Linked DNA regions of Saccharomyces cerevisiae S288C. The gene in region 3 interacts genetically with the main gene of each other region. Each region holds a gene or a part of one and is shown on either strand. Other genes may lie near its edges. The genes, in order: IRC4, YBR242W, HSP32 and CDA2.

Evidence for each region.
Region 1: mutations in HSP32 (region 3) and IRC4 together harm fitness more than expected from each alone (negative genetic interaction), as found in Saccharomyces cerevisiae (one large-scale study listed by BioGRID).
Region 2: mutations in HSP32 (region 3) and YBR242W together harm fitness more than expected from each alone (negative genetic interaction), as found in Saccharomyces cerevisiae (one large-scale study listed by BioGRID).
Region 4: mutations in HSP32 (region 3) and CDA2 together harm fitness more than expected from each alone (negative genetic interaction), as found in Saccharomyces cerevisiae (one large-scale study listed by BioGRID).

The regions. Positions count from the first base shown.
Region 1 is NC_001136.10:1,514,252-1,519,659, reverse strand, and holds IRC4 (Irc4p), read left to right. Parts: upstream 1-1,984; coding exon 1,985-2,524; downstream 2,525-5,408.
Region 2 is NC_001134.8:700,971-708,909, forward strand, and holds YBR242W (5'-deoxynucleotidase), read left to right. Parts: upstream 1-3,699; coding exon 3,700-4,416; downstream 4,417-7,939. Other genes in the region: THI2 (Thi2p), read right to left, coding at 1-872; VVS1 (Vvs1p), read right to left, coding at 1,619-3,085; ALG7 (UDP-N-acetylglucosamine--dolichyl-phosphate N-acetylglucosaminephosphotransferase), read right to left, coding at 4,477-5,823; glutathione peroxidase GPX2, read left to right, coding at 6,558-7,046; chromatin-remodeling ATPase ISW1, read right to left, coding at 7,180-7,939. UniProt on the Saccharomyces cerevisiae protein: Catalyzes the dephosphorylation of the nucleoside 5'-monophosphates deoxyadenosine monophosphate (dAMP), deoxycytidine monophosphate (dCMP), deoxyguanosine monophosphate (dGMP) and deoxythymidine monophosphate (dTMP).
Region 3 is NC_001148.4:8,006-16,090, reverse strand, and holds HSP32 (glutathione-independent methylglyoxalase family protein), read right to left. Parts: upstream 4,205-8,085; coding exon 3,491-4,204; downstream 1-3,490. Other genes in the region: YPL277C (uncharacterized protein), read left to right, coding at 1-686; YPL278C (uncharacterized protein), read left to right, coding at 736-1,038; FEX2 (fluoride transporter), read left to right, coding at 1,736-2,863; phosphopyruvate hydratase ERR2, read left to right, coding at 5,221-6,534; seripauperin PAU22, read left to right, coding at 7,664-8,085. UniProt on the Saccharomyces cerevisiae protein: Catalyzes the conversion of methylglyoxal (MG) to D-lactate in a single glutathione (GSH)-independent step. May play a role in detoxifying endogenously produced glyoxals. Involved in protection against reactive oxygen species (ROS).
Region 4 is NC_001144.5:743,843-752,431, forward strand, and holds CDA2 (chitin deacetylase CDA2), read left to right. Parts: upstream 1-4,094; coding exon 4,095-5,033; downstream 5,034-8,589. Other genes in the region: 1-phosphatidylinositol 4-kinase STT4, read right to left, coding at 1-21; NEDD8-conjugating protein UBC12, read left to right, coding at 309-311, 446-1,009; chitin deacetylase CDA1, read left to right, coding at 1,778-2,683; DPA10 (Dpa10p), read right to left, coding at 3,006-3,269; IMH1 (Imh1p), read right to left, coding at 5,192-7,927; Ras family guanine nucleotide exchange factor CDC25, read right to left, coding at 8,382-8,589. UniProt on the Saccharomyces cerevisiae protein: Hydrolyzes the N-acetamido groups of N-acetyl-D-glucosamine residues in chitin to form chitosan and acetate. Chitosan is a component of the spore wall.

The DNA.
Region 1 (5,408 bases), on a different chromosome or scaffold from region 3:
ATACCACACATAATCTCGCAATTATGTGAAGCCAAAATAATCAAGCGAAACCATAAGTCATATTTAGTGTATGCTGGCATATCAAGCCTTTTCGAACCTCTTTATAAATTTTTGTAGTACCATTGACTCTTCAGACTAACCATGATAAAATCTTTTTATAGAAAATAAAAAAAATGGAAATCGTAAATGCTTGGTATTTAAAAAGTACCCATTTCGTGCATCTAAATATACTAATATTCAGTGAATGGTGATAAAGGTACTCCACACTTACTTGGATCACTCTTGTGATCAATTTAAGATACCTATATGTGTAACCGTATTATGTAATTATGAAGTATAAGTCGTTGAAAGACTTATACTTTTTAGGCGTAATATCAGATGGAATCAAAGAAATTATAGAAAACAGTAGATCAGAGATCCTGCCTTTGGAATTCTGTAATTCAACATATGGAAAAATTGATGCGAAATCACAAGAGTACAGGGATAATTTGGTAATGTATCTCACTAGTTACCATTGTTTTGCTACGCGTACTATCTCGTTTCAATCACCTCTTCTATAATATTACTAAAAAATGTTCATATGTTATATGGCGTACCGATAAAGTTATTGCATTTCTCATGCGATTTTAACTTCCTTTTCAAGTCAAGGATACTTTGTGCAAGCGTAAATCCTTGCTCAATCTCCTCTGCTCAAAATGAAAAAAAAAAAAACGCAGAATCATATGCAGGATGCAATATTGCTTAAATGATTCTATATTTTGCACTTATGTGTGAAGAGTGTAATTTTTGATCTTCCATTTTAATGTTATGCACATAGAGCTGAAATTAAATGCGTCATATATAATTATTATGAGTGAGTGGATTTTGAGATAATTATTGGGAATTCATTATTGCTTGAGATAATATTATTACTTATACAGAATACACTAGAAGTGCTCCTCGGGGACATAGAGATCCATAAAAGGGAATCGATAATTCTACACATTAATCTGTTTTATTTCTTTATCTGTTTTACACGTTTTCATTCATTATCTTATTACAAAATCAGCCCTTGCGCTTCATGTTCCATTATACTCGCAGACTGTTTCTCATCATTTATCTCATCTTTAACTCCATTCAGTATATTATCTTAATAACGCGACTACTAGTAGTGAATAATGGTCAATTTTTACTTCAGAAACTTCCCTTGATTTCATTCATAGATGTTATTTCATTGTCAATTTTTACTCTTACTCACCGATTTGAATGACAGTAAAGAACTTTGCTCAATTAATATTATATTTGTTGTTATCGTCTAACGCTGTAAGTATATGGTACTATCATAAGAACCTCAGTAGTGGAATATGGTTGTTTCTTGTGCTGACATGATTCCGGATGGCCTGTAGGAAAGTATCCAAGATTTTTATTATCAGATACCGGTATGCATTCCATAATGCCAGAGTTTGCGTTCTTACGTCAAAGAACAATGATGCTACGGAGCGCAAGAAAGTGACGTGGCCAACTATCAGCGCGCTAGGATATGTATGCACTGCCGAAAGGCTGAAGCGTATCGTACATTAATTCATAAAGAGAAAGAAATCTCAACCCTGAATTTAGGATAGCGAAGTGCAATAAGAAAAACTTTACCATTGTTTTCAGGATGAATTCTATATCAGCCTGTTTATATAAACAATTTGACAATAGTGCGTAAAGCTAAAAAAGGAAGCATGCCCTTTGTTCCTTATCGGGTGGAGAGGGCCGCACTTAATCTCGAGCGGATATCAGGTACCAAAAGCCTAATTGAAGCAGGCAAATTTTTTTTCCCTATTTTCTTTTATTTGAGTGTGTACATACTAATATAAATTTGATCAAATAATGAATGCGATTAAAAATCAATATTGGCAAATGGAAAAAAATCTAATAGCGGCTAATAGTGAGACTTACATCGCTATAGATTGGTAATTAAACGAATTAAATAATAACAATTGAAAAAAAAAAAACTATCATGAGAGAATATACCAGTAAAAAAGAACTAAAGGAAGAGATTGAAAAAAAATATGAAAAATATGATGCAGAATTTGAAACAATCTCTGAATCTCAAAAAGACGAAAAAGTTGAAACAGTGGATAGAACACCCTCTGAAAACCTCTCTTATCAATTGGGCTGGGTTAATTTATTATTAGAGTGGGAAGCAAAGGAAATTGCTGGGTATAATGTGGAAACTCCTGCGCCTGGTTATAAATGGAACAATTTAGGAGGATTATACCAGTCATTTTATAAAAAATACGGAATCTACTCCATTAAGGAGCAAAGAGCCAAGCTGAGAGAGGCCGTAAACGAGGTCTATAAATGGATATCTACTTTATCTGATGATGAGCTCTTTCAAGCGGGAAATAGAAAATGGGCTACAACTAAAGCTATGTGGCCTGTGTATAAATGGATCCATATCAACACGGTTGCTCCTTTCACAAACTTTAGAGGAAAAATTAGAAAATGGAAGAGACTAGTGCCTGAAGAACAACGCATAAAAAGGAGGAAGATATAATGAGAAAGTTGTATATGGCCGTCTATTTTTTTTCTTGCAGGATTTAGAAACTACCACAGGAAAACCTTTTTTAATATCATATTTTTTGATATTATTATATTTGAGAAATGAATCTCGATTATTATGAGTCAATTTAACAAAACCTCATATAATGTACAGCAGTATAAAGACAAAACTCTCTTACGCTTACCATAGCCTCAATAACATGTCACAATACGAACTTTTTATGTTCTTCCCATATATTTTATTGTACTCTACACACACAGTATTGATCATATAGTTAATTTACCTTACTATACGCTAACCTTTAAAGCAACAAAGATATAGACGATACCATACATGAATGTCGATCAGAGACGTATGGTATAGCTTGTGTCACATTCTGCTATCGTATATGGTATACATGGCACATACTTTAAATTTTAAAGTAATGTCACTTGATTAAGATCTTTCCTATACGTCAAGGTCTCGAGATAAAACTTTATGTCTCAAATAATACATGCTAGGCATATAATGACCCATTTTCTGGAGTTGATGTACTCAAGACATTGGTTAAATATCAATCACGCATGATGATAGTGCGCCCTATTATAACCCATTTTTGTCATCGTCATCACGCTTCATCACCTGAGAAAAGTAACATACAAACTCAACGCCTACTAAGATTAATACATCAAAAACGATATCGTTGCCATGTACGTGCCCTAACTGCAGAAGAGAACTTCAACACTTGGACTAAAATTCACATGAAATTCTCCTAACATTCTAACATCGGTGACATCATTCCAAACCTCTTTGTAAAAGAATATATGAACAACATATGCATTAGAATAACGTGCCGTTAATTTTGCTCGAATTAACTTACCCCAGACTTGACAAAAATCTAAAAACTAACTACTCAGAAACACAAGCAAGCCTTGTGCATAAGAAAGATGTAAATCCATAGCATCAGCAGTTTCGAACTTGATACACCTCCAATTATTGCTTCATAAAGAATACATCTCCGTCTGGTAATGCGATGGCCCCGGTTTAGAGTACCCTTCTTGCGCAAGGTACTTGTGTGATAAGTAGCGCATTTTTTGCACATCACGTATGCTACTTTTGTATTCTTCACTAGCAGGCACTACAGTTGAAATAGAATTGAAGCTTGAAGTGTCGTATGGGTTATTCCGATTAGTTCACCTATTCGCATATTACGATTTTATAATCAGAGTGATATCAATGAGTATTATAACCTTTAAGTCATTGTGCTTATGCTATCTATAAACGTCCAGCGGCACATAATTCATCTATTTATGCAATTCCTACAATAAATGTTGATATCTTCATGGAAATTTCTTAAGCACAAACTTGTATTTAATATCCTGCATAAAGAAAACAGACATCTAGAAAACTTTCATAATTTTCAAAATAATCTTCCTTTATACACACTCTAGCGACCTGGGTTTACATTTCCGTGTATGATTGCTTTATATAATAGGACAATAAAGGAAAGTCGCTAGAAGAGAATATTATAGAAAGCTAAAGTGTTTAGAAACAGATGACTTAGAAGCACCTCTGTAATGTGGAGACAATGGTCTCAAGTTGGCGCATACATCAGTTTGCCACAGCGACAGAAGTATAACCGATTAACTCAACATGAAGGATCCTAGAATATACCGCAAGATTCGATTATCGATCGTCTACTACATCATAGTAGCAGTTAATATTACTAAAATACATGCATCTTTTGTATGATACATGATCAATATATATGATTATATTACTTCTTTCAGTTTAGCATTTTAAGGATATTAGCACCACAGGCAGAATCCCACTTTTTCAGTCTCTCATACTCTCTCAGTTTGATTGAGATTTAACAATATCAGCACATTTTAGAAGATGCTACAGTCAAATACCGCCTCATCTAAAGCATGTTCTACATATATCACAACGTCACGTTGAATAAGGCCATGTGACACGGGTTTCTGCCGGTCGACATTCCAAGCATTGTATTACAATCTTCTTTCATTATGACATACTATTGCATTTTCTAGGGAATATTCAAAGCTTGTCCATACCGAATATAAGCGATCACGTTTTGATTACCATTTTTTTTTTTACCTACTCTGTCTTTAATATTAGAACTATACATGGGTAAGATTGGTAGATGATAGTATATACCTATAATTACAGTTTCATAGAATGGAACTTTTAAATTTTATTCTAACTTTTATGAAATACCTTAAAGCGCAAAATACAGGCTGACAGGATAACCACAATGTCTCAAATCCCACCTGCATTAGCTATTTTTAATAATCAGTTCATTATTTCCATTTTCATGTATACGGTTACTATGCAATTAATGGTAATGCATATTCATTGGCGAAGGCAGATATCTCCAAAAGTTCATTCAGCACGAAAAAATGCACCGCACGCATCAAATGATGTTTTGAATTTTAGCACTTATGTTTAAAGACTATTCGTTGATAATCCATTGTTTCCACTATTTTCAAAATCTTACCAAATGACAGCTGAACTTGCCGGAAAGCAGGGTTTTTGTAAAAGTAATACCGTTCCTTGCAATTGCATACAGGCCATGAGTACTAAAAATACTGTGGTCATTTTATGCAATCACTAGACACTCAAGAAACTGTAGAAAAAGATATCAGCAGAATACAAAAAATCTTTAACGAATGATTGTATTGGAGATTTGGAGTCTTAAATAGCTATGTGGCATTTAATTGAGTCTATTGCATAGTTCCTTTGATTTTATGTACGCCCTCGCCACTATATTTCAATGATATAGTGATTCAACTTATAGAGTACATATCTGCTTAGGAGCAACATACTTGAATCATTTTTGTTAGCTACATTCCTTAAATGGTCGCTAGGGAGAGAATTT
Region 2 (7,939 bases), on a different chromosome or scaffold from region 3:
ATTTTCCCAAGGAAGCGTATGAATTCCGTGGTCAACGAGTTCCTCATCTTATTGATGAACCACGTCGTGTATTCTTGTCGGTTCAATATCATGTTCCCGTAGCAATTAAACCATAGGATCCCGAAAATTTTGCCTTGGATAATATCGATCAAAGAGGTGCTGTCTTCTGGCGGCGATGACAGCGCTGCAGTAGTGGTTTCCTCTGCTGACGACATCGAATGACCCGGCGACGGCAGCTGATCTGTAAGAGCAGAGGTAACTGCAGCCGGATTGGCCCTGAAAACTGAGTAAGGCCCGTGTTTGGAGCAATTGAGGTTGACCACAGATATGTCGTTTTCCACCATATTAAGCAATTCGTCCAACTTCTTGTCTATGCGCTTTTGAGTATAATCTCTATTTGTCATGCTACCAAAGACAGAGGCCACAGCGTTATTGTATATCTTCAATCTCCGTACGCTTATGGTGAATGTATTATCGTTAGGAAGCGTAGTTTCCTTACTTGCCTCGTGCACGCTGTCTTCGCAGTCACTTGTCGGGGGTGATAGTTGTCTAAAATGGGTCATTTGTTTAAACCTTGATTTTGAGATTTTCTGGCACAATGGTTTCGATTTCGATTTGCGAGCCTGTAATGAACTGATCAGTGAATGCTTGCGTACTTTGTAGATGTTCTCCTCTAACCACATAAGTCTGATATCGTAACTACAATTATCTCCATGTTTGGCACACAGTGAACAGATTGGTCTATTCTCGTCGCATCTGCGTTTCTTGAATCTGCATGCCCAGCACCCAGTAAATGTCCTCCCCTTGGTGGGGGGCACTTTGGAGGATGACGCTACTTTCTTGCTTCTCTGCTGCCTCTTACTATTGACCATTTGGTTCTAGTGCGGATATATATATAGGCTATATATATACGTGGTGAAATGAAATGAAAACGCTTTTAAAGTGTGCAGAAATTGTTATAGCTCTAACCCGTAGTATTAGTTCCCCATATAATTCCGACCGAGAAAGGTGCACCCACTTGTCATACAAATTGTACATATATATATATATATATATATATATATATATATATGTATATATTATACCTGCAAGCAATTGCACGCGAGTACTCTGCGTGAGTCAAAAGACTGTGGTAAAATGGTACCCATCTGATGCAGGAATTCCGACTCTTTCAAGCTAAATGCCGTTTCATTTTGGCACGGATGCATTCGCAGATTGGTTGGAAATCCGCATACATCAAATGCGCCAAGAGGGCTGCCATTGTATATTCCTTTTCTCGGCAGTCCTGCCGGATGCATTTATGCCGCTAAGACGCAGAACCGAATATTGGGCTCAGGAAAATATGCAGATAGACGCTCGCCCGTGAGCGACTCATGACGCGCGTGTGCTATTTTGGCCCCGGCAGTACAAGCGGTAGTCATGGTTTCCGCCACACGGATCTCATACAACAGCAATCCATTTGGTTTGCCTAGTTCCGTACATATACATAGATACTAACTAAATGAGTGCATATACTCATGTAGCCGTTCGTTACTAGAAGAAGAAGAAAATAAAAAACAGATGAATAGCTAGAAAGAAGTAAAAAATAGTTGCTTAGGTATATATGACTGGCTACAGATCAGTAGCCAGCCCAAACCTCGCTGTATGTAGTCTTGCCCTTTGTCTCGGGTACACGCTTGTACACATATGTAGCAAACATGGCAGCGATGGCGGCGAAGATCGCAAATACGTAGCCGCCCATGAGGCCGTGGCCTATCGGGAAGAGGTATCCGACGATGAAGGTGGCAAGCCAGTTGCACACAGTACCAAAACTTTGAGCTGTAGCGGCATCCTGCGGGTAGGATAGCTCACCAATGATCAAGAAGGGGATGGGTCCCAGACCGATGGCGAATGCGGCAATATAGACAAAAGTGGCCGTGACCAGTAAAAAGGATACGCTCAAGGTGAGACCTACACTGATCAGCAGCGACATGGCGGTCATCACCGTAGTCGAGGCAAGCAATAATGGACGGCGCCCGACGTGGTCGATGATCGCAGATGCTGCTAGAGTGACAACGACATTGAGGATGGAAATGGCAAAATTTACCTGAATCGAGTAGTCCGGTAGAATCTTGCCGATCACTTTTACACCGTAGAAGATAATAGAGTTGATGCCGCAAAATTGCTGGCACGACAAGATGGCGAGTATAACTGTGCGCGGTTTCTTGTATGAGGGATCGGTAACATATTGCCATAGTGTGGGTCCTGAATGAGTCTCTTCGCTTGACTCCGGGTCGCGGTTGTGCCCATGGCTACGCTGCCAATCCTGAATTTCTTGCTTCGCTTGTTGGTACGTTCCTGGACGCAACTTGAACAGAGCAGTTTCAGCTTCCGAGACGAATCCGTGGCTCACCAGCCACCTTGGAGATTCGTCCACTTTGAGCCAAGCTAAAATATTCGCTACCGCAATCACGGATCCGGAAAAGAGAAGCCACCTCCAGTTATAGGAGTCTGCGTACTTGAGTGCCAAGGTTTGGGTCAGCAGGATACCTAGATTGATAGAAACCTGATTCATAGATCCCATAGCGCCTCTCCACTCCACGGGGGCAATCTCGTTGATAAATAAGGGTGTGATCACAATGGCGGTGCCGCAGGACATGCCTACCAGGAACCTGCCAAATAGCAACTGCAAGTAGGAGTTGGAAAAGAAAAGCAGCAGAGAAGAAACCATGCACATGGCCGAGGCGCCCATGCTCACGTACTTTCTTCCGTATCGGTTGGCCCAGTTACCGGCGTAGTACGACCCAAACAGTCCGCCTATGCTGAATATAGACGTAATTGCGCCGTATTGAGAATCGGTTAACGCAATGCATTGCTTGAGTCCGTGTTGCCCAACCCAAGTGTCATCGTATGAGATGTTTTCGTCTGGTGCCTCAAATCTGGAGCACGATAAGAATTCTTGAGGCGCATTCAACTCTGCGATGTGGTATCCGTACTGGATCGACCCCAAACAAGCAACTATCGTGCCCAAGATTAAATGGCCCGTAATTAACGGTTTTGTTTCGCGGGAACCACCGTTAGGCATTAGTCTTTCAGTTTCAGCCATGACTTAGTTTGTTATGCCTTAGTCTCTGTGTTTTGTTGTTGTTCCAAGAGAGAAAGATATTCAGCAACTTTTGTTCTCCTGTTATTCCCTTAATCAGGAAGCAACTTTAAGGGAAATCCATTTCATCCCTCACACTTCCCATCTTTTCTCGGACAACCTTACATTACGCCTACGACGTATGACTACACAAGCAAGTTCGTTTTACAGACCGCGTATCATTGCTCGTTACAGCTCTACCAAAAGTGTACCGAGCACTGTGCCCAGAAGCTAAGCTTTTTTCGCTAACATATATATATATTTAGGTAAATCATTTACACTTTTCGTCGATCTAAAAGCTCATCGCATTTTTTCGGTCCTGATGTTAAAAATTTATTTCGTTTATTAAAAAAAAAAAAAACATTACTGAAACGTATAAAAGAAAAGTCTTAATCTATAAATATGGTTTTATCATAATTAGACTGTTTTACTCTGTCCATTGGTCATTATAAAGCCTGAAAATACCCACTGAATGGTTTTTTTCGCAGGAGCAAACCTTTTCCATTTCTAATAAACCTTCTGCACTATTTTTATTCTCATAAAAAACAATTGTCAAAGAAAGCCTACATAAAAAAAATATGACAGCAACGATCACAAATAAGAAATCATGCTCTGGTTCTGTTGAGGCAGGAAAGACACGTTTAACAACTGAATGGAAGCCTGAAAGCCAAGTACCCCAATATGTTAAAAATGAGCTCTCTAAACCCCATCCAAACTATATCCTGGCGTTTTTGAACGTGGTACAGCAATTAAAAATTCAGAGAAGAACCGGTTATCTTGACCTCGGTATTAAAGAATGTGAAAGCATATCAGATCACATGTACAGATTGAGCATAATCACCATGCTGATCAAGGATTCGCGGGTTAACCGCGATAAATGTGTCCGGATCGCATTGGTGCACGATATCGCCGAATCTTTAGTTGGCGATATTACTCCAGTTGACCCTATTGGGAAGGAAGAAAAGCATCGTCGGGAATGGGAAACCATAAAATATCTATGTAATGCTCTGATCAAGCCATACAATGAGATCGCGGCAAAGGAAATTATGGACGATTGGTTGGCTTATGAAAATGTCACCTCATTGGAAGCTAGATACGTGAAAGATATCGATAAATATGAAATGCTTGTACAATGTTTTGAGTACGAGAGGGAATACAAAGGAACGAAAAACTTCGATGATTTCTTTGGGGCTGTAGCTAGCATAAAAACAGACGAAGTAAAGGGCTGGACAAGTGACCTTGTCGTGCAGCGCCAAAAATACTTCGCCGATTTGACTCAATCGATAACTAAATAATTATCATAAATACCAACTTTTGCGTCATAAAAGTACAAAGTAACTACCAATACATAATCTTCAACGTACTGTCCATAGGTTGTCGTGGCCAAAGATGATAGCGCCTATAGCGTGTCTTCCAAGTAAAGCCAAAATTCCAATGCAGAATTGCAACTTCAAGATTGTATTGCACAATTTGTCTTCCCTCATAGGGCCAAACCATACTAATGTCAAGTTTATTAACGTCATATTAGAGGTGCTAATAATCTCATTATTTTCATCAAATTCCAGGTCAATCAAATGGAGACAGTATAGTAACTTCAAGATCGGTTTAAAAATGCTCTTTGGCGGTTCTTCTTTTAAGTTTGCTCTTGATGGATACATTAAACCGTCTTTTTCATTAAATTTAGGTAACCTATGTCTCGGGCAGGGGACCAATTTGAATAGCTGAGGACATGAATAAATAAAATTAACGATTTGAGGAATGAATAGCAAAAGCATCGTCTTTGAAAAATGACCCAGTATACCAACGACTGCGAATACCATTCCAGCGAAATAACAATATGTATCTCCCACAAACACTGTGGCGGGCCAACGATTCCATTTCCATAGCGCCAAGGATACACCCAAAAATGGGATAATCAAAACAGCGGAAAACCTATGGGAGTCTCTTGTGGCTAATGGCCCCATCGAGAAGTACAGCAAATCGTTCAATAGCGCTAAGATGGCCAACACTATACATTGGCCAACCTCTAAACCATTAACACCTGCCAGGATGTTGATGGAGTTGGGGCAAAAAATTGCCATCGATGCCATATAAACATAATACCACAGCCCCAAATCAACACTAGTCTTTTTCAACCAGCGTTCCATGAATCCGGGAATAAGTACATGCGTAACTCCAAAATCCACATAATAAACCATTAGCAGTGGGATGGCTGCAATGGCAGGCAAGAAAAACTTATGTCTCCAACGTAAATCAAATAAATCATCAGCGATACCCAAGAGGACCGTACTTTCCAAGCATAGGATAGCGCTCAAATATTCAGATAGTTTATCATGAGGAAAAATATTAGAATTCATACCGTTATCTTCAACCACTGAGACATCGCGATGGCCCCCACCTGAAGTGGTTATGACCATATACTTGTAGAAAATGAAGGGAATGTAAATGAACATTACAAATAAATAAACTGCAGCAGGGATAGCACCTATTGTTTCTGGAAGCACCGGACGGCCAGGTTTACTCAAGTCCTTACCGAATAGGCCTATTTTGATGAAGGATTTGCCCACACGTGGAATCAACATATCTGTAGCTAAATAGCCTGCTATACCAAATCCCACGGCCGCAACAAGAGCAGATGGGCCCTGATTTTTGGAATAGTAGATTAAGCATGTGATAAGTGCCAGTGAAAAAAGTCGCAACATATAGTCTACTTTTTGTTACCGTTCTCCGCCTTGCTCTACTTGATAAAGTTTTTATTTACATATTTCACAGTTATATACACATGTTAACAATTTAATTTTCGCGCTGTTTAGTAAAGCATTTTTCGAGATTGAGGCAATATAAAAGGAAAGGGCCATATACAGGAGATGAAGGAAACCTGTACTATTATTGTATTAAACACATGGTAGTAGCTAGAAAAAATTCATGCATCAACCTCTGTGTTTGTATTCGTAACATATAAATCCACAAGAAATTTTTTACTCATCATCCGCTAAAAAAAGGAAAATACGGACGTTACTTACTAAATGTACGACGAACATGTACACAAATCTTGACTATTTTTGATAGATGCAGTCTCTTGAAATGACCAACGACTCAGTAGTGTTTTCCAAGCAATTTTACTTTCAACTGTTTAATATTTTTTAGAGGCTACTCGGCCGGCCATATCTAGACAATTAGTAATTCCGATGACAAAGAGTTTAAAACCACAATATCTGCCACACATATCGTGAAAGGCATTAGTTCCATTGTCTCCGTATTAGTGCAAAGCCCCTAAGCCAGCCTGCTTTAAAAAATGTGCAGGTACTTTTGTTATTGTTTTGATATATAAAGAACTACTATTTGCTAATATGTGATGTAGCGCAGAGAACTTGCATTTCCCTGCATGGCTGACCTTGACAAGAATACAATTAGCAACAAAAAGTAATAATTCAAAATGACCACATCTTTTTATGATTTAGAATGCAAGGACAAGAAAGGCGAATCTTTTAAGTTTGACCAACTGAAAGGCAAAGTAGTTCTCATAGTTAATGTTGCCTCCAAGTGCGGCTTCACGCCGCAGTATAAAGAATTGGAAGAACTATACAAAAAATATCAAGATAAGGGGTTTGTTATTTTGGGGTTCCCATGTAATCAGTTCGGGAAGCAGGAACCGGGCTCTGATGAACAAATTACGGAATTTTGCCAGTTGAATTATGGCGTTACATTCCCAATTATGAAGAAGATTGATGTTAACGGAAGTAATGCTGACTCTGTCTATAATTATTTGAAAAGCCAAAAAGCAGGTTTACTAGGTTTCAAGGGTATCAAATGGAATTTTGAAAAGTTCTTAGTTGATTCCAATGGTAAGGTTGTCCAAAGATTTTCCTCCTTAACAAAACCATCGTCCTTGGACCAAGAAATCCAAAGCCTGTTAAGTAAATGATATCTTTGTCTATAATCAAGCAATTATCCGGAACAATAAATAATACATTTATAGATTAGTATGATTATATATTTTTCTTCAGAAGCATGGTGTAGGATATATTAAAAAAAATCGAAATATAAAAAAAGAAGGTTTAATGAGTGGTTTCGTTTTCCGGAATTTTCTCTGCTACCAACTGTTCAGTTCCAACATTCGACGTATCCTCAATCTTCGCTTTTTTGCTCTCTACTCCATCAACGTTCTCCTTCTCATTAGCGGTCTGATCTGCAAATTCTTCCCTTATCCTTTTACCATTTTCATCTTCTTTCTTCATTCTATCTTTAGTGGCGTCATCCAATACAATCCCTGCGTTAAATTCCTTTTCCAAGCATTGCAGTAATGTATTTCCTCTTCTGGCTAGCTCTACAGGTGTCCTGCTTCTGAAGTAAAAGTCTAATTCGAATAGGGGACAATCTCTAATTTCATCACGCACTAATTCGTATACGTCATCTCTATCCAAGCCATACTTGAATAACATGAGAAGGATAAAACGATCTTCTTCTTCAGAGTACGTCCTTTTGTTGTTAGAAGAAGGAGGATGTTTTAATTTCAAATCGAAGAATGGATTCTTATACTCAGACAACTTCCGACGTAAAGCCTCTTGTTGCATTTTGACACGCTTGATCTTCTCTTCTTCATTCTCAATTATTTTCAGATATTTCTCATAATCTTCAATTCTTTCAATGTTAGACCAGAAGGCCTTAGCATATGCGCGAACTTCCTCTAGTGTTTTGCCAGGGGCCAATTCTCTCGCAATGGCTTGAATGGAGTTCCTACCGTATTTACCAGATACCGTGATGAATTTTCTAAATTCTAATTTATTCCAATTTGTAAATCCTTCAGACTCCCAATCA
Region 3 (8,085 bases):
TCGTTTTGTGTGATTTTTCGGCTGATAACGTCGAACTTGTTTCAATGTTAGAAATGGTCCAGCCTAACCAGTACCTAGGCTTACCAGCACCTACCGTAATATCGAAGGAAGAAGGTTGGCCTCTGGATGAAAATGGAAGCCTAGTTGAAGATCAGCTAACAGATGACCAAAAGGCGATTCTGGAAAGAGAAGATGGTTGGGAGAAGGCTTTTTCTAATTTCAACGCAGTTAAAAGCTTCAATCAGTTGAGAGCGGGTGCAGCGCATGACAACGGGGAGCATCGAATCCATATCGACTATAGGTACCTAGTGAGCGGGATAAACAGGACGTACATTGCTCCTGATCCTAACAACAGAAGATTACTCGATGAAGGAATGACATGGGAAAAGCAATTGGACATGGTAGATGACTTAGAAAAGGCGCTGGAAGTCGGATTTGATGCCACGCAAAGTATGGATTGGCAGTTAGCATTTGATGAGCTTGTCCTTAAATTTGCTCCATTACTAAAATCTGTTAGTAACATACTGAACAGCGATGGTGATATTAATGAGTCAATTGCCATCAATGCAACAGCACTCACATTGAACTTTTGTCTACCAATATGTGAGCCCATACCAGGCCTTAAAAACGGATGCAGACTTTTTGATTTGGTCATCTGCTGTCAGCGTTGTCGGAGAAATTGTTGATGTCATTTATAAAGTGAATGATTTATTGATACCCGAAGTCTACTCTTTTATGACAGATAACACAACTTCCAGCGACTTAATAAAGAATGTCGAAACGGCTCGCTCCACTATCGATGGTTTAATTGAATCTCTAGGGTGGATTGAACTAAATTACCGTTGTGAGAGGCAATGCAATTGGGATGAAGTTTGTTACACTCCTTCCTGGGGCCCATCTCCAATGGGTATGACTGAACCAGGTTCCCACAATGAGGGATTTGGAACCCACTTTGATGAATCTCGACAAAGGTTGGTTATTAACAGTAAACTACAGTGTATCAATATAAATGATTTGATGGTTAATCGTAATCATTAGCGCCTCATGTGAGCAGGCCATTGTGGGACAGTATGAAGGGTATGATTTCTAGATAATCCAATAATAATTATGAAGTTTTTGAGATTTGGGGTGATACACATCTATGAATTACTAAGAGATTTGAGACACAGCGACAGTCATGCCAGCAAGATTTAAGATTTTCTTTATTTAGTGTTTATATACATATCAGATATCTGTTGAGTATTTTCTATTTTACCAAAAAAAAAAGATATGAAATCAAGATAAAACGTCGTATGAAAGACAAGGGAGCTCAGCAGCAATATCATAAAGTAAAGCAACAGCGCTTGGTTCATGTACAATGAACGATCTGAAAATTATTTGGCAGCGGTGCTACGAATACATGTCGATATTACGTTACGATTGTCTAACAGGGGAGGAGAATCGTGCACTTTGATGGGTATATCGAAAAGATGGTGACTCTGCTAGAGTCACTGTCAGTGAGGAGTTGCGATGTATGAAAGATTCACTGACATAAAGTGGCGCGATTCATGTAGCAGTGTAAATCACTTTTGACGCAATGATGGAAGAGATACGGAAGAGATACGGAAAAAATAAAACAAAAAACAACTGAAATAAGTACTAAAGGATTATATTTATTGCCGCCATTATTATTTAGCGTCTGGTGGCTCAAGAATCTGCAGTTATTTAATTATTTAATCGAGCGTGTAATGCTCTGATGATTTTCAATCCGGTCATATCAAATCACAAGTTGAGCCATTATATTCATGTTTTTTGTACATTCACCACGTTCTGCATATTAGGTACTGAAACACGTCAGGCTATAACGGCGCTTTCCACCTACACTCCGGCCTTCGTTACTGCTCCGACCGTTCTCTGGTCTAATTGTTCATCCTGCATGCTAATGGGGATTATGCAATCTTTAAATGCTTACACTTGGATGAAAGATCACCAAGTCTTGTTTTTAGGTGTAACTACTGGGTACTGTGGTGCCCTGTCTTCCTTTTCTAGTATGCTGCTAGAGATGTTCGAACACTCTACAAACTTAACTAACGGTAATATCGCTAACCACACAAAACTGCCGAACAGAGCTTACGGTATAATGGAGTTTTTATCTGTCTTGCTCGTTCATCTTATGGTTTCCATGGGTAGTCTTATTTTCGGTAGGCAACTTGGTAAGGAGGTTATTGTTGCTTATGGATCTAGTTCGTTTTCGAAGCCATATACCCCTCCCTCAGACACTGTAAAGGAAAATGCTGGTGATGTTGATACACAAGAAATGGAAAAAAATATTCTAGAGTTTAAATTCAAAACTCCAGCACCATTTTTTAAGAAATTTTTTGATGTTGTGGATAAACTCGCGTACGCACTAGCTTTTCCATTAATTATTTTGTTTGTGGTGCTGTGTGCGTATTATGAGAACTATTCGAGGGGCAAGTGGACACTACCATGTCTATTTGGAATTTTCGCTGGTTTCCTAAGATATTGGTTGGCAGAAATGTTTAATAAAACAAACAAAAAGTTTCCATTGGGTACTTTCTTGGCAAACGTTTTCGCCACTTTATTGATTGGCATATTTACCATGGTGCAACGTGGTAAAAAACACTTTTCCACGGATATTCCAATTGTGAACTCGTTGAATTCATGCCATATTGTTTCTGCGTTAATATCCGGATTTTGCGGCACTTTGAGTACCATTAGCACGTTTATCAATGAAGGGTATAAGCTATCATTTATTAACATGCTTATTTATTATACTGTTTCGATTGGAATTTCATATTGCTTATTGGTGATAACTCTCGGATCCTATGCTTGGACTAGAGGATTGACTAACCCGATTTGTTAGGATCTTTTCTTCATACCTTTTCCTGCACAATCATCCCACCTTTTTTTTTTTTTAATTCATTTTCAAGATTTTAGACGTTGTATAATACATTTTTACCGACTACTGCGGTTTATTGTAATATTTTGTGAGATTTTATGAATGCGTTCCATCATCTATTTACTACAAAACGATAAATTTCCCCGTTTTCTTTTACTTTTACTTCATTTAATATAATTCATATTTATTTCCTATGTACCAATTAATTACTTCTAAAAAGAACAGAAATAGAAAAAAGTTGTATATAACAAGCCAAAAAAAAGAAAAAAAAAGGAAAAAAAAGAAAACACAGCTTATTTCAAATTGCAATCTGCGTATTTCGTAAGTAACGAATGATCTCACAGCATTGCTTTTTTTTTTTTTATATATATATGTACATTACCTATGTCACATATGACCATGATGAGTACAACACTAAAAACCAAGGCCTACTATTCAATTGTTCTCTATATGATTTCCATTCTAGCAAAATCGAGTGCTACCGACCTGCCGTTTTCTTTACCTTTCGAACCATTGAGCTGTTAGCCTTCTCTTCACAGAAACTGAAAGCCATTAGAAGCCTCCCCTTCAACAATTCCCTTGTCTTTTGTTTCAGCTATATAATGCGTTTATAGCTCTAATTGTGGTCGAATAGGAAGAATTTGCGTTAACACCCGTAACTAGCTTTCCATCTGTAATAGAGTAGTCATCCCAGGGATGGATTGGCGCCAAGTACTTGGCTCCATTCTTGTTTGCAACGCGTTCAACCGTTGTCAATTTTCTGCTCCTCAAGATGTCGTCAACTCCCAGGGCGATTTCACCCTCGAGTGGGAAACCTGTTATAGCTTTGCCTTCGATTAATGGTCTTGTTGTTTTGATATCTATTAATCCATCGAAAAGGAGCGGTCCATGACAGATGGCAGCGATCACACCCCCATTGGCATATATCTTGGATGCAATATCTTGCAGATTTTTAGCTTTGGGATAGTCAAATAGAGCACCATGTCCAGCAGATGCAAAGAATATTTTATAGTCGCTGGCGTTGACTTCATTTGCGGTCTTGATCCTCGCTAACGCCTTATTGAAGGCGGAATTTTTCGTTTCAAAGTTCATCTTATCTTCGCCACCAATAAAGCTCTTTGGCAAGTAATGTTCATCCCAGCCAAATCCACCAGTCTCAGAAACGAAGTCCACTTCGAAACCATGCTTTTCGAAAGTATCGAACGACCGCAAAATCTCAACTACAAAAACGCCTGTTTTCGCACCATCTTTATAGAAGGGACCGTGGTATGAAGTAAGAGATATTAGCGCTCTTTTTGGAGTCATTGCAAGGCCAGTTTTCTTTTTGAATGAAGGAGAAAAGTGTTCTAGAAATATGTTTTAGTTCTAAGTATCGTTGTCTGGAGCAAGCAAAGAAAAGCAGACCTGTATGTGCAACTTTCCTCTTTTCCATTAAAATCTCAAGAACCGGCCCCTTGACTGTGCTCATATATCAAGTATCGGTTTTAAAGTCCCCTAATTGTGATAATTGCAAGAACAACAGTCAAAAAGATATTTTTCTTTTCTTTCTTTTTACCTATCCTTCATGAAAATACCTATGCTGATACTGAATATCTTCATTTGCAGCTATGCAATATTTCAGATACCCCATTTTACCCAAGAGTTTCTTACTGGTGGTTGGATTTTCTTTAAGACGAGAAGATTACCAGTCCTGGATGTTCGTGAATGTGCCTATTGCGTCATCAGCGACTCCGCGCCAAGAAAAGAAATACTCGCATGCTCGGATTTATAGAATCGCATAATGGAAATACCTTCCTTAAAGGATGGAGATAAGGAAAAAATGACAAGAACAAGGAAGTACTTGGGAGCTTTCTCCGACATGGTAAATATTTGAAACTCACGCAGCTCTCCTGGAAAGTTGGATCTGGAAAGGTAAGGTTGTTTTTTTTACAGACATCAACCAAAATCGGTTCTTGTAGTAGACAATGTCACAGATCGCCACAAGTTGAAAAAAAAGTTTCGATGAACTGGATAAGGGGAGAGGTCACAAACAAAGTGTAGGGGGTGAGTAGTATAGTGGTAACTTGTTCATTTACCTAAATAACATTCTCACTAGAAAAGAGATATTGAAAGACTCCTCGTTTACCTAACTTGGCTGGTTCTTAGGTATATAATAGAAACATGGATCTGGCAGGTTATCACTTACAGTTTGCACTCCCACCAGGTTACAATTTTCATTATATATAGTTATTTTTTACCACCACTTCTTCTTCTTTCACTTTGTCTTGCAATAGAAATACCAAAACAAGGTGAGGAAAAAATCGAATCTCAACGATAAAAATATGTCCATCACGAAGGTACATGCTAGAACGGTGTATGATTCTCGCGGCAATCCGACTGTTGAGGTTGAAATTACAACAGAGAATGGTCTCTTCAGAGCGATCGTCCCATCTGGTGCCTCCACCGGCATTCACGAAGCTGTTGAACTTAGAGACGGGAACAAGTCCGAATGGATGGGAAAAGGGGTGACCAAGGCAGTCAGTAACGTCAATAGTATCATAGGGCCTGCTTTAATCAAGTCCGAATTATGTGTAACCAATCAGAAGGGCATAGACGAGCTCATGATATCGTTAGACGGAACTTCTAACAAGTCAAGGTTGGGCGCCAATGCTATCCTTGGTGTTTCCTTGTGCGTTGCTCGAGCTGCTGCCGCACAAAAGGGAATTACTCTCTACAAGTATATAGCCGAGTTAGCGGATGCTAGACAGGACCCCTTTGTTATTCCTGTTCCTTTTTTCAATGTTTTGAATGGTGGAGCCCACGCCGGTGGCTCTTTAGCTATGCAAGAATTCAAGATCGCGCCAGTCGGGGCTCAGAGCTTTGCAGAAGCCATGAGGATGGGTTCGGAAGTTTACCATCATTTGAAGATATTGGCGAAGGAGCAATATGGACCTTCCGCTGGAAATGTTGGTGACGAGGGTGGAGTTGCCCCCGATATTGACACTGCCGAAGACGCCTTGGACATGATTGTGGAAGCCATTAACATATGCGGTTACGAGGGTAGAGTGAAAGTAGGAATCGATAGTGCTCCTTCTGTTTTTTATAAGGACGGGAAATACGACCTAAATTTCAAGGAACCGAACTCTGACCCATCTCACTGGCTCAGTCCAGCCCAGTTAGCAGAATATTACCATTCATTGCTAAAGAAATACCCAATCATTTCCCTGGAAGATCCCTACGCCGAAGATGATTGGTCCTCGTGGTCTGCCTTCCTAAAGACTGTCAATGTTCAGATTATTGCAGATGACCTGACATGCACCAACAAGACCAGGATCGCCCGTGCTATAGAGGAGAAATGTGCGAATACTCTGTTGCTGAAACTCAACCAGATCGGTACTCTGACTGAGTCTATTGAAGCCGCCAATCAGGCTTTCGATGCTGGATGGGGTGTAATGATATCGCATAGATCAGGTGAAACCGAAGATCCGTTTATCGCTGATTTGGTCGTTGGTTTAAGATGTGGTCAAATTAAATCGGGCGCTTTGTCGAGATCAGAAAGACTGGCCAAGTATAATGAACTTTTGCGTATCGAAGAGGAACTGGGGGACGATTGTATATATGCTGGTCATAGGTTTCATGATGGAAACAAACTATAAAGGATTGTCTTGTTTCCTTTTTTTTTTTTTTTTTTTTTGTTTTTTTATGACTAAATAAAGTAAATCATATGAGGTTTTATTTTTTATTTCGTTGATTTGGGTTACAGTATGGAAATGGGGCATTTGACACAAGTTATTTTATTCATATGTTTTATCTTGTAGGAAATCAAACCGTTTTTAAAGTTTTCCATTGCCTACACACAAAATCATTACGAATCTGTCTGAACAAGGGTGGACGTGTGGGGGAAGGCTGTTCCAATCAAGAAATGCTTACAACTCTACTAACACTGCAGTTTTTCAGCTTTCTGATTAATCTCTTCGGTTTAAATTTTTTAGCAGCTATTACTTTCTAGTAACCCTTATAACGCGGTTGGTATCAAATCTTCCTGATAGTACAAGCAGACCTTTGACCCCATTCTTGTTGTGTCTTGAAATCTTTTTTTCTGACAAAAGTAAGAAGTTACACCATAATAGAGAAGTTAAATAATGAAAGTGTATCGATCATAGAAATGATTTTATTTTTTTCAACTACTGTTACGGTCAAGAAACTAATACTGAGGATAAGTTTTCGCAACAATGATTTTGGTACAAGTGATTTAAAGTCTTGAATTACTTCAACACAATTTGCTTTGCGACGGTTTAGAATAACGTAATCGTATCAACGAATCCACTAGGCGCGCGTAAAAATTACAGACTCTAACAATATACGACTCCCAGCACATACCTACTATTCTGTACAATTCCGGGAAATAGGAGGGTACAGTATTATTTTTTCTCGGCGATCGTTTAGGGTATACTGGAGATAGGCTTAGCAATACGCTTCTGAACGAGGATCTATAGCAACTAAATTCAGACATTCTGCTATACCAAAAAAGGAAGTATCACAGGCACGGAAAAGGGTTTTATAAGGCACCTCGGCACCCCTATAACTGGCATTCTCACATTCGGCGCATACGAATAGACAAAGGCCCCAGAAAACAATACCTTCGCATACAGAATCTATAAAGATGCATGCCTCGTTTAAAAACAAAAACATCTTCATAGTGATCATGAAGTTGTGGGAAAGATGAGATATGGAGAATATGTGAAGTGCTAAAGGAGCATCTGTTAACGAATCGTTTAAGTGGTGATGACCAATGAAGGAATAGGTATAAATAGAGATACTTCAACTATATGCCTTCGAGAATATGTCTTTATTCATTTCTTTCCTGTTAAGCTTATATCAGCACTAACAAACAAAACAAATACAATGGTCAAATTAACTTCAATCGCTGCTGGTGTTGCCGCTATCGCTGCCGGTGTTGCCGCTGCTCCAGCCACTACCACTCTATCTCCATCTGACGAAAGAGTCAACTTGGTCGAATTGGGTGTTTACGTCTCCGATATCAGAGCTCATTTGGCTCAATACTACTTGTTTCAAGCAGCTCATCCAACAGAGACCTACCCAGTTGAGATTGCTGAAGCTGTTTTCAACTATGGTGACTTCACCACCATGTTGACTGGTATTCCAGCTGAACAAGTCACCAGAGTCATCACTGGTGTCCCATGGTA
Region 4 (8,589 bases), on a different chromosome or scaffold from region 3:
CAATCCTCTGGTAAATCTCATCTGCCTTAAACGAGTGGCGTTTTCGATTGCTGTAGTTATCTTTTTGTGATCTAATTTTTTTCTTGATTTACAATAGTTATTAATGTTGAATATGTTTTTTCCCACAACTCAAACATCTTCGCAGTATTCTTGAAAAAAAAAAATACTATTAACGTACCTTCATCCCTGCGCGTGCCGTTTGATGATATCAGCCAAAAGGTAAAATGAGATGAAAAAGGCCAATCATTCATAAATGTACTTAGAGACATTAAAGAATCAGTTAGAGAATATAAAACAAGATAATAAAAATGGTACGTAGATGCAACTATATCTTTCCGTTTCTCATTGGCGGTTTTTAGCGATCGAAAATACTAACATAATCTTTTTGGGGGGTGAGAATGTATATGTGTACTGGATATGTATATTCTTGGCTTTATTCAAATAGTTGAAATTACGCCAATTACAAAAGAAAAAGCAAAAAGAAAATGAAAACAGCAGTTCTATTCAGCCTAATTTATCGGCAGCAAGAATTCGTTTGAAAAGGGACCTTGATTCGCTGGACCTCCCACCAACAGTGACTTTGAATGTAATAACATCACCAGATAGTGCGGATAGATCACAATCGCCGAAATTGGAGGTAATTGTTAGGCCTGATGAAGGATATTATAATTATGGATCTATTAATTTCAATTTGGATTTTAACGAAGTTTATCCGATTGAACCACCAAAAGTTGTATGTTTGAAGAAGATCTTTCATCCAAATATCGATTTAAAGGGGAACGTTTGCCTAAATATTCTTCGAGAAGACTGGTCGCCAGCTCTAGATTTGCAGAGTATTATAACCGGGCTTCTTTTCTTGTTCTTGGAGCCTAATCCCAATGACCCGTTAAACAAGGATGCAGCAAAGTTACTGTGTGAGGGTGAGAAAGAATTTGCTGAAGCTGTGAGATTGACCATGTCTGGAGGTTCAATTGAACATGTCAAATATGATAACATAGTTTCTCCTTGAGTCAAGTTCAGAGTAATTTTCGGTTGATTTGATTATATATAAACAATAAAATTATAGATAATTGTGACATACTAGGCGAGTTGTCGCCTTGGTAACATCTTGCTACCGCCATCTTCTGTTAGTTTACGCCTTATGACCAACATTCCTTATATTCTCGTTCAAACTTTTGTCTCGATATTTTGCAGGTACCTGTAGAACTTAATGTGTTCTATTCAAAATAAGTATAAAATTTCTGGCCAGTAAAGGCAAACAAAACATAAAGATATTAATACGAAAAATTTCTTGAAGAAAACAAAAAATACTTCTTATAATAAAGAAACAGCGAAGCCATGGCTATTGACAAGATAATCAGGAAGGTGAGATACCCTGGATAGAAGACTAAGAGAGAGCAGGAAGTTGAAGAACGCAATCTCAGCTATCGCTAATTCTTACAAAAAATAAAGATATTACAACTATGGAAGAAAAAAATGAATGACTATACTAGTTAGTAATATTTAACAAGATAACGCTTTCTATTTTCTGTAAAAAAAATTCTGTCTCATGCACTTGGAAGCAGCTTCAACATTTCTCTTTTCCAGATGTCACATTTTCCGGACCGGCCGTCATTCAATCGCAATTAAAAGAGAAAAATACCAACAAGTGGGTTGATTTACTTTTGTGTTTTCAAAAAGACCAATAGTTCTAACAAAGTAGATGCTTAGAAGTAAGCAAAGTGGAATATAGAGAAACAAAATTAAGTGATAGATTTACTTTTACACAAGAAAAGAGATGAAAATTTTCAATACAATACAATCTGTGCTGTTCGCAGCATTTTTTCTAAAACAGGGAAATTGCCTTGCGTCAAATGGGAGTACCGCATTGATGGGGGAAGTAGATATGCAAACGCCCTTTCCAGAGTGGTTAACAGAATTTACTAATCTTACACAATGGCCTGGAATTGACCCACCTTATATTCCGCTAGATTACATAAATCTTACTGAAGTGCCAGAATTAGATAGGTACTATCCTGGCCAGTGTCCCAAAATTTCTAGAGAGCAGTGCTCATTTGACTGCTATAACTGCATCGATGTTGATGATGTAACTTCGTGTTTCAAACTTTCCCAAACATTTGACGACGGTCCGGCCCCGGCGACAGAGGCATTGCTCAAGAAATTGAGACAAAGAACCACTTTTTTTGTTCTGGGGATAAACACTGTTAATTATCCTGATATATATGAGCATATTTTAGAGAGGGGTCATTTGATTGGTACACACACGTGGTCACATGAATTCTTGCCAAGTTTATCAAACGAAGAAATTGTAGCCCAAATTGAATGGTCAATTTGGGCTATGAATGCCACAGGCAAACATTTCCCCAAGTATTTTAGGCCTCCATACGGTGCAATTGATAATAGGGTTAGAGCTATAGTAAAACAGTTTGGCCTAACGGTTGTCTTGTGGGATCTCGATACTTTTGATTGGAAATTAATCACTAATGATGATTTCAGAACAGAGGAAGAAATACTTATGGACATAAATACTTGGAAGGGAAAACGGAAAGGTTTGATCTTAGAGCACGATGGTGCACGAAGAACAGTTGAGGTTGCTATTAAAATCAACGAACTTATTGGTAGTGACCAATTGACAATTGCAGAATGTATTGGTGATACAGACTACATCGAACGCTACGACTAGAAGTAAGATTTCCGAGAAATAAAGTTTCTCTCTATATATCTTTGATCTCTTATTTAATTATTCAACTCGCAAAAATAAAAAGAATATTTTGTTATTTCAAAAGTAAAAAAGTATGTATTAGAATAGAGGACATATATAAAAATCATATATATCGATGCTTGAATGTATAAGGAAAAGCGTCAAATTATGAACGGTAGGTACTTAGGATGCTGATGTCACATAAAGTCAGAGGGTATAACTTTAAAAAGTAATTTTTTAGAATCTTTTAGCGTCAAAACGTTACACGTACATTTGAACAGTGTTAAGAGTAGATTAATTCAAATTATACTTTTACGTGCTCCGATACAGTCTCTACCTCTTCGTTGTCAGTGCAAATAACAATTGGCTTATCATGAACTGTTCTTGGAGATGGAGAATATCCTTTCAGACTCGTAATATTGATGACGGTAGTTATTCTGCGACATTGAGTAGTACTAGCATCCCTTATAACCGGAATAGTTGTTGATGTAGGTGAACTTTTTGGGACATAACACTTGGCAGTTGTTTGCAAATTTTTTGTGATCATTGATATGTTTCTTAGTGACATTTTTGATGCTATTGTTTTTATAGTGTAATTGCTATGAGTTTATTTTGTTGACAAGTATACTTGGCTGTCTTTTTTATATAATAACGAAAATGTGTAGTGGAAAAGCAGGTGTGTTTTGTCTTATATCTTACAAACTATATAGGCTTATATAGTTTTTTTTCAAAGATTCTTATTACTGCACAAAAAAAAATAAGATCCCAAATTGAACATTAACATTAGTCATATTCAGGGATGGCTCATCACGAACAGCAAACTGAATAATTTTCTTGTCTGCGTTCCTTTTTTTGTGCACCAATGGATGTAGTATGCGCACCTGATGCGCATAATAGATTGCAATTACACTGACTACAACTTACGTATATGCGTTTTTATTACTTTTCTATTGCAACGGCCTAAAGGAATTCGATAAAAGAAAGAGTAGGCAAGATAAGCCTGAATTTGGCTTTCGGCTGTTATTTTTACTTCCGCTAAATTTTCTTTGTTCTTCCATTGTTTTTTTGCCTTTGTGTTCTCCATTAATCCATCCAATTTTAATGTCGGATTAATGGAACTTTCTATTAACCCATAAATGCCACATAGTACGGCTGTAGCAGTGAAGGTTACAAAAGGACGGGTAACACATGAGAAACATGCGTCAGGGAACAAACTAGATATTTGATTTTGTGACGCAACGCAAAAATTACTGGCTATTCTTTTGTAGTATTATCAAAATCCATTTAAAATATTCTCTCTCCTTCAGTAATCCTCTATTATTTATCAAAAACCCACAGTGGGTAAACAAACTGCAAAAGAGTTGTTATTATTTCTACGGATCGGCAATTGAAAATGAGAATACAACTAAATACAATTGATTTGCAATGTATTATTGCACTTTCCTGTCTGGGGCAATTTGTTCACGCGGAAGCTAATAGGGAAGATTTAAAGCAGATAGACTTTCAATTTCCTGTATTGGAAAGGGCAGCTACAAAAACGCCTTTTCCGGATTGGCTTAGTGCATTTACCGGGTTAAAAGAATGGCCTGGGTTAGATCCACCTTATATACCTTTAGATTTCATTGATTTCAGTCAAATTCCAGATTATAAGGAATATGATCAAAACCATTGCGACAGTGTTCCAAGGGACTCGTGCTCTTTCGATTGCCATCACTGCACCGAACACGATGATGTGTACACATGTTCCAAACTTTCCCAGACATTTGACGATGGTCCTTCTGCTTCCACTACTAAATTATTGGACCGGTTGAAGCATAATTCCACCTTCTTCAATTTAGGTGTCAATATAGTTCAACATCCAGATATCTATCAAAGAATGCAAAAGGAGGGACACTTAATCGGCTCACATACCTGGTCTCACGTATATTTGCCAAATGTATCGAATGAAAAAATTATAGCTCAAATTGAATGGTCCATCTGGGCGATGAATGCTACTGGCAACCATACCCCCAAATGGTTCAGACCTCCATATGGCGGAATAGATAATAGAGTAAGAGCAATAACAAGGCAATTTGGCTTACAAGCCGTCTTATGGGATCACGATACTTTTGATTGGAGCCTCCTTCTCAATGATTCTGTCATAACTGAACAAGAAATTCTTCAAAATGTAATAAACTGGAACAAGTCAGGAACCGGATTAATATTAGAACACGATTCAACGGAAAAAACTGTCGATCTTGCCATTAAAATAAATAAGTTGATAGGTGATGATCAATCAACAGTTTCTCATTGTGTCGGCGGAATTGATTACATAAAAGAATTCTTGTCCTAATTTTCAGGGAATTGAAGAAAATAAGGAAGAATTAAATTACAATTTAAAAAGAAATTGCTTTAGTATTTTATATATAGACATGCAGCAACTTCTTGATATATTTCAGGAAGAAAAAAACTGTTTCAATATATACGTATCTTCTGCTTTCAGCTACATTTTTACTTCAGAGACATAACCAGTCTTTTTTCATCAGTACTGTCCAGTTGTAACAACATAGAAATTACAGGAAGTAATTGGTTCCGTTGTTCCTTGTGCTCCAAAAATCCCAACAAAACATTTTTTATATATGCAATTTTTTCATTTTTCTCAGAGTCTAACTCCAATGAACTTGATGATCGTATCTTCTCTAATTTAGTTGGATTAGAGTTATTCGCTGGTGAGGAATCAATATTCGCGTTAGCTAGAGTACCGATAGAACCAGACCTACTAACTCTTCCTGACTTGTCACTGTATTGTCTTTCCTTTAAAGCATTCAATTGAGAGGACAATGAACGATAATTTTTTAGTAATCGATCAAATTTCTTGTTAAGTTCGTTATTTAAATTCAGAAGTTTCTCATTGGCAGACTGTAGCTCAAAATTCTTTTCATCAGCCTTAGACAATGAGAGTTTTAAATTAGATGTGATCTGTTCCAACTGATCGGAATCATCTGAAGTGGCTTGAGTCTTCCTTTTGATGTCATTGTTAACATGTTTCAATGCGTCAACCTCTGATTTTAGTCCCTCTTCACGAAGCTTTAAAGCGTGTATTTCCGATTTCAGCTCAGTTACTGTATGCTTCCACTCTTGTAATTCAGTGGCCTTTCTGGATGTTTGTAAGTCTAATTCTGCTTCCAATTTATTCTTTTCATCCGTTAAATAGGCCAATTTATTCTCCAACTCTTTTTGTTTGCTCGAATCATCTGTCTGACTGTCCGAAACTAACCTTCTCAATGTGTTAGCTTCTCTGGTTTTGTCTTGAACAATATTAGCATATTCATTTAGTTCATCTTCTAAAGATAAAATTTTTTTTGTAGATTCCTTCAACTTGACATTTAGTTCCTCACATTGTCTTTTGATAGAATCTATGTGTTCATTCGAATTACTTTTTACATTTTGCAAGGTATTGTATTTTTCTTGCAAAATATTCAATCTTTCCGATAATTTACCATTTTCTTTCAAATACTCCTCGTAGGAATTAGAATTCTTTGCGATATCATTATGCAGTGTCTCATTTTCCTTTTTTAATAAGTCTAATCTGTTAGAAATTTTAGCATGATCTTTTCTCAGCTGTTCTGTGGATTTTTCAGCCACGTCCTTTTGCTCACTAAATTGTTTAACTTGTTCCTCCAAGTAACTCACAGTTTTTTCCTTTTGTTTATAAGAGGTTCTTAAAGAAGTAAGCTCCTTTGTTATGTTTGATTTTTCGTAGGTAAGTTGAGATATCTCCTCATTTAATTTGGCTACCTTGTTCTGCGATGTAGTCTGCTCTTTCTCCTTTTCTGTACATAAATTCTTCAGATGCTCTACTTTCTTGCTCAATAACTCTATCTTACTTCTCAACTCAGTATTTTTAGCTTCGTAGGCCTCGATCATCGTTGCATTTTTATGGCGTAAATCATCGAGCTCCAGCTTAACGGTTTTCACTTCTTCATTTTGTTTACTCGAAGACTCTTTAATCTCATCTTTTGCGTCCACAAGCTCATTGCCTACAGTCCTCAGCATATCTCTCACCTCCTCTAGCTCCGAATTTTTTTCTTTCAATGACTTCTTGGTATCGATCAACTCGGTGTTAAGGGTTTCCAGCTCCTTTGCTGATTTTTCGAGCTGTGAGTTTTCCAATTCTTTAGCATCTTTTAGTTCTGCTTCTATATCTTCATACTTTTGCTTCCAATCTTCACAATCTTTATATTTTTCTTGTAATTCTTGCAAATTTTCTTTAAGCTTATCATATTCTTCAGTATTGATTGAGTTATCGACCGTTTCCTCTTCACTGATATCACCCGTAGTTATGCCTCCCTTATTTTTCTTTCCCTTGTTTCTATTCTTTTTCCTTCTGTTATTGTTTCCTACATTTTGATGAGATATCGCCTTCGGTAACTCCTTCATTTTTTTTTCCAATTCACTCAGCTTGCGCTCTTTCTCTTTTAAAGTAATATTTAGTTCTGCCAACTCTGAGGACTTTTCCTCCATTATAGTACTTTTCGAAGACAAATTTTGCTCCAATTCGGTTATCTTCATTCGACTGTCCTCGAGAGAATGGTTCTTTATAGCCAATTCTTCCTTCAGTTCGGATATAGATACTTCTTCTTTCTGTTTTTTGGCCTCCCTTTCTTCCTTTAGTATATTTTCCAGTGCAACTATTTTTTCTCTCAAACCTGAAACAGTATCATTTTTTTCTTTTTGTACAGTATCCAATTCTATGTTTAAAGCTTCCATTTTTTTTTTTAGATCGTCTATGTCATTTTTATAATTTTGCTCTTTTTTCAAAAATTCCTCTTCTTTATCCTTCAGAGTTTCACTAGAGGCGCTTTCTGGAATTTCCGAGTTCTGCTTAGTTAATCTCTTGATCTCATCATTCAATAGGTTATTTTTGTTGTTTAAATCCTGGAAAAAAGCTGGCAACGTATCCACTGCGTCGTCAATATTAGATATGGGTGTATTTTCCGCTAAAATCTTTTCAACAGCCTCTAACTTCTCTGACTTTAATTTTTCATTTTTGTATGCGGAGAGTAGCAAAGGGTATTTTTGTTCATATTTCTCAAATTTTCTTAATTTAGCTTGTATTTCTTTTGGCAAGCCACTCTTATCATCTTCGATTTGTTGTTCTGACGGGGTAGGGCTCATATCATCGGCTAAGCCCTTCGCTAATTCATCGGTAAGATTCTTACCAATTTGTGACAGCTGTTTGAACATTGAATCAGCAAATGTTTCCCTAAGTTAAAATCACCTCAAATGTAACTCCTGTTGCTTACTATTTGACGTTTCTGCTACATTTGGTTCTCTTATATTGCTGGATCTGAAAATCCGAACTATGAGAATGCGGGTAATAGCTTTTCATAGAATCACTAATTGATATTTTTTCAGGTAATAAGTTTCCTCTAATCGGGCATTTAAAATCTTGGATCGATAACTTAACTGGGTGTAATAAAATATATAAAGATATAAAATAGATATATATATATAAAACGAACTTTATCAAGAAGAACTGCAAATGAAGCGTACTCTCAAATCCTCGAAAACGAAAAACACTCCACCAGTACAGTATTATCACGAAGAATATTAAGTAAAAGCAGCCATCTTAAATAATAGAGTGTAGCAATCAAACATAAAGCTAAGGTTCTTCTTGATTAGCAAATTGTATAAACTTTTATCGAAATAACCTAGAAGGAGGTTTTTTCTTACCTAGCTTCAAAAAATTGCCATTTTTATCATCTGTAAATTCACTTAGGAATTTTGCAGTTTTTGTACCGCTAGCAGAAGAAGCATGCGTACTGCCTTTGGTGTTTCCTGATCTCGGTTCCACTTGCAGTGATAATTGATACTGCTTTTCAATGTGGGGGACATTTTCCAAAGAC